Linked DNA regions of Mus musculus. The protein of the gene in region 2 interacts with the protein of the main gene of each other region in a biochemical or structural test. Links are inferred from orthologs where the notes say so. Each region holds a gene or a part of one and is shown on either strand. Other genes may lie near its edges. The genes, in order: Vegfd and Flt4.

What was found.
Region 1: the proteins of Flt4 (region 2) and Vegfd form a complex in vitro, tested with the Homo sapiens proteins (2 studies listed by BioGRID). The link is inferred for Mus musculus from reciprocal best matches to the Homo sapiens genes FLT4 and VEGFD.

Annotation. Positions count from the first base shown.
Region 1 is NC_000086.7:164,393,821-164,397,638, reverse strand, and holds part of Vegfd (vascular endothelial growth factor D isoform VEGF-D358 preproprotein), read right to left. Parts: intron 3,207-3,818; coding exon 3,058-3,206; intron 1,707-3,057; coding exon 1,606-1,706; intron 1-1,605. UniProt on the Homo sapiens protein: Growth factor active in angiogenesis, lymphangiogenesis and endothelial cell growth, stimulating their proliferation and migration and also has effects on the permeability of blood vessels.
Region 2 is NC_000077.6:49,626,442-49,630,259, reverse strand, and holds part of Flt4 (vascular endothelial growth factor receptor 3 precursor), read right to left. Parts: intron 3,592-3,818; coding exon 3,423-3,591; intron 3,141-3,422; coding exon 3,023-3,140; intron 1-3,022. UniProt on the Homo sapiens protein: Tyrosine-protein kinase that acts as a cell-surface receptor for VEGFC and VEGFD, and plays an essential role in adult lymphangiogenesis and in the development of the vascular network and the cardiovascular system during embryonic development.

The DNA.
Region 1 (3,818 bases), on a different chromosome or scaffold from region 2:
AAGTGAAAGGCAAAATGAGCCCGCCCGCCCGCCCTCCCTCCCTCCATCCCTCACCTTCCTTCTTCATTCCTTCTTTTTTCCTCTCCATTGCTTTTGTCAGATATTTTATTACAGCACCTAAAAAGTAACCAATGTGTTCCCCCACTAACCTTTCCCAGCACTGGGTTTTTGCTTTCTCACCTAAGCCCTGCTCAGAGCACATCTCTCTTTCCATCCTCAATGTATGAACCTACCTAGTGAGTCTTCCCCAGGAATTAACATCCCCCTGAAAGAAAATGCCCCACCCAGGTTATGACCCCTCCTCAAGTCTGTAGGGCCCAACCTGTTTATTTGAGGTGCCCCCCCCCCAGGGAACTCCTTGGCTTCGACTCCACGCAGGATTGGCTGATGGTGATTTAGCAACTGCATTGTGTCATGCTGCCTCAATTGTCACCCTTTACTTTGTTGTGTCTGTGTTGAAACTATATGTGTGTGAGCCTTTGGCTAGATAACTTCAAAAATATTTTACCTCCCATCCTAGTTTGAGCTCTTACACTGGTGCCGAGAACTGGAACCTGAGGACAAGAGCACTAAGAGCTTGACATTTCAGACAGATTCTATGGCTCTGGATCCTTGCTATTCTTGCTAGGAGATCAGAGTTTAAAACAAGCAACGTTCACGTTGCATGGTCCCCTGTGATAGTTTTCAGTGGAACCAAGTCACATGTGTGGAAATAAATTTTAAAAAAAGTAAACCATCATGTTTGTTCAACCATATGTTCATGCCAGGATTCAGAGCTTTAACAGATCGGGAGATGGAATGACAGGCTAGCAATTCCCTATTTGGCTTAGCCCAGGAGCATGATGTGTTCCAGTTACAGACAAATGTTCCCACGTGTCCTCCTTCTTTCCTTTATTTTTTTCCCAGAGTATTTGCTTGCTTTCAAATGGTGCAGTTGAAAGAAACCAAGTTCCAAATGACCTATGAGTTTCACCCCAAAGTAGTTTTCATTAGAGTATAACACCTGCTTTAGGGGGCTTTGTCCACTTTGTACTTTTCTTTGAGAATGAACAGCGAAGCGAACAGAGAAGGCTCTAAAATCCAACCACTTCTGGCACTGTTATCTGTGTGAGAGTGAGGAAATTACTAGATATCTCGGGGTAGACACTGTGTGCTTGTAAAGAGGGATGATCATGAGTTGTGAACATTGTGGGATGTTGTGCCTTGATTGAGACGCTTGACCCTCAGTTGTCTGGGGGAGGTTATGGAACCTTTAGGAGGCGAAGCCTTTCTGGAGGAAGTACGTCACTAGAGGCGGGCTTTGGAGGGTTATAGCCTTACTCTAGCTCCTGTTTTCTCTTTGCTTCCTGAGTGCAGATGAAATGTGACCGGTCAGTTTCCTGCTCCTGACGCCCTGCCTGCCTGCTCACATACCTTCCCCACTATGATGGGTTACCCTCAAACATGAGTCAAAATATGCTCTTCCTCCCGGAAGTTGCTTTTGGTCACAATATTTTATCACAACCACAGAAAACTAATACACGTGGTCATAGTGAATGCTCAGCCATGCTAAATGTTGTATTCCTTCTATCAGTATGGTTAGTACTTCACTACTGCCATCCTTACCTTCTGTCCCAGGCAGTGGAGTCTCGTCTTGCAAAACACATTTACATTTGGTGTTATCCCACAGCATGTCAATAGGACAGAGTTTCTTGGAATGAGGACATCTAGGAAAAGAAAGCAAAGAACCAGATTTAAAAGTTTTTCAGAGTAATCCTACTTTGGGAATATTAAGTCATTCTTAATATTTGATATCTAATAATCTAAACATTCTGTGTGGAGCATGTTAGTGCTTTCAAATTTTGTTTCTAAGAGTGATACAGGAGAACAAATGTTTGTCTCTCACGGCATGGTGACTGTGAAAAAATTACAACTGTGTGAGAAGAGTTGTAAAGACCTTAACGTTGGGGCTAAAGAGCCGGTTCAGCAGCTCAGAATGAGTACTGTTCTTCCACGGGGCCGAGTTCAGTTCTCAACACCCATGTGGATCGGCTCACAACCACCTAGAATCCCTCCTCTAAACGATCCAGCACTTTCTCCTGGACTCCAATGGCACATGCACAGATGTGCAGACCCACACACATGCATACATAGACACAAACAAACAAAAGAAAATATGGAGCTTACTTTATATTTAGAAATGACATCTTATGACATAATAATTCTATAGTTATAAATATTCTATTAGGGAAACTTTAGAGACTAAACTTGGATTTATGAGAGTCACTGTTTGCACAGGAGTGAGGGGAGACATGGTAGCTATGAGGCTGGAGCAGTTTTACAATGCATTCGGCCACTCATTCTAAGAACAAAGGTGTTGGGCCAATGTGGCAGCACATCTTAAATCCCAGCACTCAGGAAGCACAGGCAGAGTTCAAGGGCAGCCTGGTCTACAGAGTGAGTTTCAGTTCAGCCAGGGATACAAAGTGAGATCCTGTCTCAAAAATATCAAAATAAAAAACAAACATACAAAAAAAAACCCACAGTAAAACCCTGAAGGTGTCTGAATCCAAACATGCTGTGTTCATGATCCTCAAGGTTTTGGGTCCTACTGTAATATAGATATAGCACCTAGTAAAAAAATAATGTGTTTGTCAAATACTATGAATAGATCTGGTTTTAAAGTCAGAAGATGAAAAAATTTAATGAAGAGAATGTAATTTTTGCAATTACAATGCAATTGCAACTTATATTTTTTCTATTTGTGTCTTCAACATTTTGATTAGTGTATATTGTAAAAAAATAATGGTTTTCACCATACCATATTCATGCATGCATAAAATATACTTCACCTGCACTTTTCTCCTCTCTTTTCCTCTCTGCCTCCTCCTCTTCATCTGCTTCCTTTCCCTAAAAACCCCCCTTCTACTTTCATGTCTTTTTGTTTTTTAATGCTCCATAAAACAGAAAATGTGCAACACATGTCTTTCTGAGGATGCCTGTATAATGGGTAAAGGAATGTACATGCAGTTTTGTCAAAAGCAAGAACAGACATTATCAAGTCCAGGAAATGCTTACTCATCTTCTTCTGGGGTCTGAATGGATCTTCTGATAATTGAGTAAGGATGGCGGGGGCCCGTGGGCAAGCACTTACAACCCGTATGGTTGGCAATTTTAACAGGCACTAACTCGGGCACTGATGTCAGAGGCACTGATATCTCAAAGAGCTGCAGCAAAGAAAGAGAACCATGATGTAAATTTTATTGTATACTTTTCTCAGTTTCCACCATCTGCATTTTTGCCCTTATCCTTTATGGTAATGACTTCAGCAAAGTTATTCATGAGCAATAGAGTTAGTCATTGTAAGTAAGCGGTTTGGAATGCCGGGAGTCAGGAGACAGGGGGCCTTATCCAGCTTGCTCTCCTAAGTGTTTTCCTAATCTGTTCTTTTCACTATCATTCAAGTTCTTTAAAAATCCCTGCTCTCTGCTCTTGTTTTTAAAATTGAATATAAATTGTAAGTATAAACAAAATAAAATCTTTGGTGGTTCTTTGGGACGTGGGTGGATTTGATTGTTATTTAAACTACTTACTCATCCCTTCCCAAACCATTTCTATTGATGACAGACAATTTCCTACCTCCTGGCATTGAGCTTGGCCATAAAACTTGTTTTGGCCAATAAGATGATAGCTGACACCACATAGTACAAATTGGGACTGTGCATGCCTTGTGAGATTTATTATGTCTTGCTTATGGTATAGCCATGAAATGGATATAGCCTGTAAGCTACGCTAGTCCAAGGGAGGACATACAAAGCAGGTTGGACTCACATAGCACC
Region 2 (3,818 bases):
GAAGGGAATTCAGAAACTGTGGGGACCAAATGCTAGCTCTGGGCTTGCATTTGCAGGCCCTCCAGTGGGAGTAGTTCTCGGTTTCCTGTTGGTCACCAGAATCTTTAATGATCGATCTAAGATACCGGATGGCATCAACAAGAACAAATTTTGTTTGAGGATGCCATAATAAATCCTCTGCATGCTAATTAAATTAATATGCATCACTTTGCATGCTAATTAAAAATAAAGGAACCAAGGCAAATAGAATCCCAAATACCCAGTGCTCAAGTCTCTCCTATAAAGTAACACAGACTTTTCACATAAGCTACCACACCTCTCTATATACTGTAAACCATCTTTAGATGACTTATGGTACTAATACATTGTTTCATAGAAGGTTGTGATCTTGACATGCTCAGGGGCTGTCATAGAAACAAAAGGTCCAGATACATTTTAGAGGCTATTTTTCCATCTAAGGTTCATTGGCCCCGTGGCTGCAGAAAACACTAATATGAAGGGCCACACATACTGCTGGAGGTGGGAAGAGAAGGCCATGTGGCCTCTCTTGACAGATCAGACTAGAGCAAGAGGCCTCTCCTGTGCTAGACCAAGAAGGGCAGCAGGAGTATGGGATGGACAGAGTCCCTGGTCTGAGGAAAGGCAGACAAAAGCTCTGTACTGGGCTGACTTATGTGGCCAGCTCAGCAATGTCACTGGCCTTGAGGCCCATCATGAGATCTTCAGTGGCACTTCCAGACTTACCCCTAAATCCTTTGACACTCCCCTCCCTACCAGTCTCTGCTTAGGGCAGCTCCACTCTTTTCTATGAACTTGGCCTAGGGACTAGGAAGGCAGCTTCCCAGTTCGTCCATGAAGTTCTTCCACACCTCTGAGCTTTAGCATCAGAGACTGACTTCACCACCCTCGGTGGGCCCTGTCTTCTTTCTCAGTGTATACTGATGAGGGAAGGAATAGCAACAGCTGAGCCCATGGAGTGCTAATTGCTTGCTTCTCGGACACCTGCCTCGGGAAGCTCCAGTGAGTTCTCCAGACCTGGACCTTCTCACAGGGCTTACTGTCTTACTGTCACCCTAGTTGGGATGCTCTTTCTGTAGATGACAATTTGCATGGCTCTCTCCTTCCTGCACTGCAGCTGGAGTATTGGCTCTTCAAGAAGGTTGTCATCTGTCCCTGCCTGCCATGTTCCAGTGCCTGACCCCCTCCCTTCCTCCCTCTCTTTTCCTCCATTCCTTCTTCCTTCCTTCCTTTCTTCCTCCCTCCCTCCCTCCCTCCCTCCCTCCCTTCCTTCCTTCCTTCCTTCCTTCCTTCCTTCCTTCCTTCCTTCCTTCCTTCCTTCCTTCCTTCCTTCAGATCAAACCAGGACCTACACTCCTATCTGGCACACTGGGTTTTGTACAAATTGGTTGACGATCCTCTCACTGAGCTGTGAGCTTCAGTGAGGACAGGGACAACTCACTGCCATATCCTGTTTACACAATACCCCACTGGGCATGTGTGGTCACTCTAGGTCTCTGCTGCAAGTGTGAGCAAATGCCTCATACCCTGGACTGTTTCTGCAGCCTGAGTCCTGGGCTTCTAGGCCCCTCCCCTCTGAATAGGCTAAGCTAGGACTCTGTGGCCCTGAAAAGGGACATCTCTTAGGTTAAAAATTCTCCTATGCCTCAGTGTCTTTATTTGACAACTGCAGGAATTGCAAAGGCTCACTGAAATAGTGCCTTCACTTTGCTGGGCACACCGGACCAAAGACCCAGCCTGGCTGGCTGTCCACTCATTGACTTAGTGTAATCCTAACACGGTGCCATCTAAACAGTGGTCACCTGTGAGACGGTGATGAACACATGCGTGCTGGGACAGCTGCACACTGCAGAGAGGAAGACAATAGCTAAGAGGGAAGAGAAGGGTCAGAGAAGGTAGATATGTTCCTGTGGAAAACTGTGCTGAGAGCAGACTCAGTCCTGCTGGCCTCAGAGGTCAGGGGACTCTGTGACTCTAAGAGTTGTAATTATGCTAGCTTCATCAGTGAATTTAGGACCTTCCCTCTAGGGCTCTATTCTATGCCACGTAGTGCTCTATGGCTCAAAGCTATGGCAGGATTTAGGGAGCCACAGACTAATTAATAACTGAGCCTTCACAGAAGCCAGCTTCCAGCCTATGGCCAGTGGGTCCTGGCTGAAGACCTTTGGCGCTTCTGTTTGTCCTGCACCGGAGCCTTTCTACCAGGTGTGAGGTGCCTCAAGCTTGGAAGGGCAGGGCTACCCTGGGTTTGACAGGAAGAGACAAAGCAGGAATTCCTGCCAGGAGACCTGGGGCTCAGGTGGGAATGCTTGTCCCTCTTCTGGCCCATTTTCTTATCTGTACAAGGTAGACGGAAGCTGCAGGAGGACTGAATCAAGTGGGTGGCTCAGGGTGTAATGGAGGATTGAGGCTTTGTACTCAATACAGAAGGTATATCACCGAGGGTCCCTCTGTGCTCTGGGCATACCCTGTAGGGAAAGGCCAACTCTCAGGTCTCCTACAGGCCTCTCACTACCAGATAGCTCAGAGCCAGGCTTATCAGTCTTATGCTATCTCAGATTTGTGGGTCAGAAGGTCCTCAGAGAAGAACTCTTCCAAGAAGGGAGCCCAGAGAACTAGCCACTGCAGAGCAGGCCCTGAGTTTGTTCCCTGCATGGAGATCCAGCTAGCAGAGCCTTGCTGAGTCTGAGGGGATGTAAGAAGCAGGAATATAAAACCCCATACTGCCAATCACACCCCGCACACCGGATCTGGTGTTTAAAACATTTTGCAGTTTAGCTGCTCCTGGGCTGAGCTTCTTCTGAGTATCTGCATGCATTCCCTTTAGGGGCTGGATTTAGGGAGGGTCCCACCTGGGTTTAGGGTATGGAGGCGCTGATGGGCAAGGATTAAATCCTCTTTTGAGATTCAGGGCTACTGATCTGATGGGGAAGGATCCTGTCCTTTTCATGCCCTGGCCAGTCCTTGGGTTAAGCCTGGTGGGGTAGCAAGGGGAGGCTGTTACCATTGGAACTCCGGTGGGGGATAAGCTGCCAGCTTCACGGGTAGCTTCACCAGCTCGTCACCGGCTGTGGCCTCCAGGACAGGTCCTTTGAGCCACTCGACACTGATGAAGGGCTTTTCTGCCAAACAGGAGGCATGAGTGTAAACTTGGGGCTGACCATCCACCAGGCCTTCCCAGTCTCTCCCTCTGCAGACTGGAGCTTTGCCTCGCTGTCCAGCTGGTAGGAGCTGGGCAGGGCTTCCCCTCAGAGCCCTTCCTTCCTTTTGACTGGCCCCTGCTGCTCAGGTGCATCATGACCTCTGACCCACACCGCATAAAGACCCTTGTTGTCCAGGTTCCATGAAACCGGACCCATCCCATCCCATGCCGGGCACAGTGACCTCAGCCTCCCAGGTCATACCGTGCACAATGACCTCTGTGCTTTCCCGGAACCGCTGAATCCCATTGTTGGCCTCACACACATAGGGGCCCAGGTCATTCTGGCTGACATTGTGGATGGTCAGGATGCTGGAGAGTTCTGTGTGGGTCTGCTGGGAACGCCGCTCAGGTACCCACTTAGCCCGCTCTGCCTGCCGCACCCAGGGGAAGCCCAGGGTCAGCAGGCAGGCAGAGACAGAGCTAACCCAGCAAAGGCCCACACCCCTGCCCAAGCACAAGTGGTTCTGGGTGCCCCGCTTCAGAGCTTGCTTTGGTATAGAAAACTTCCCCATCCATCACTTGGGTTACTGAGTCTGTATCCCCTCCACACAGAGGCACAGGAAACATGGACATGGTGACTCCTAGGGGTGATACTGAA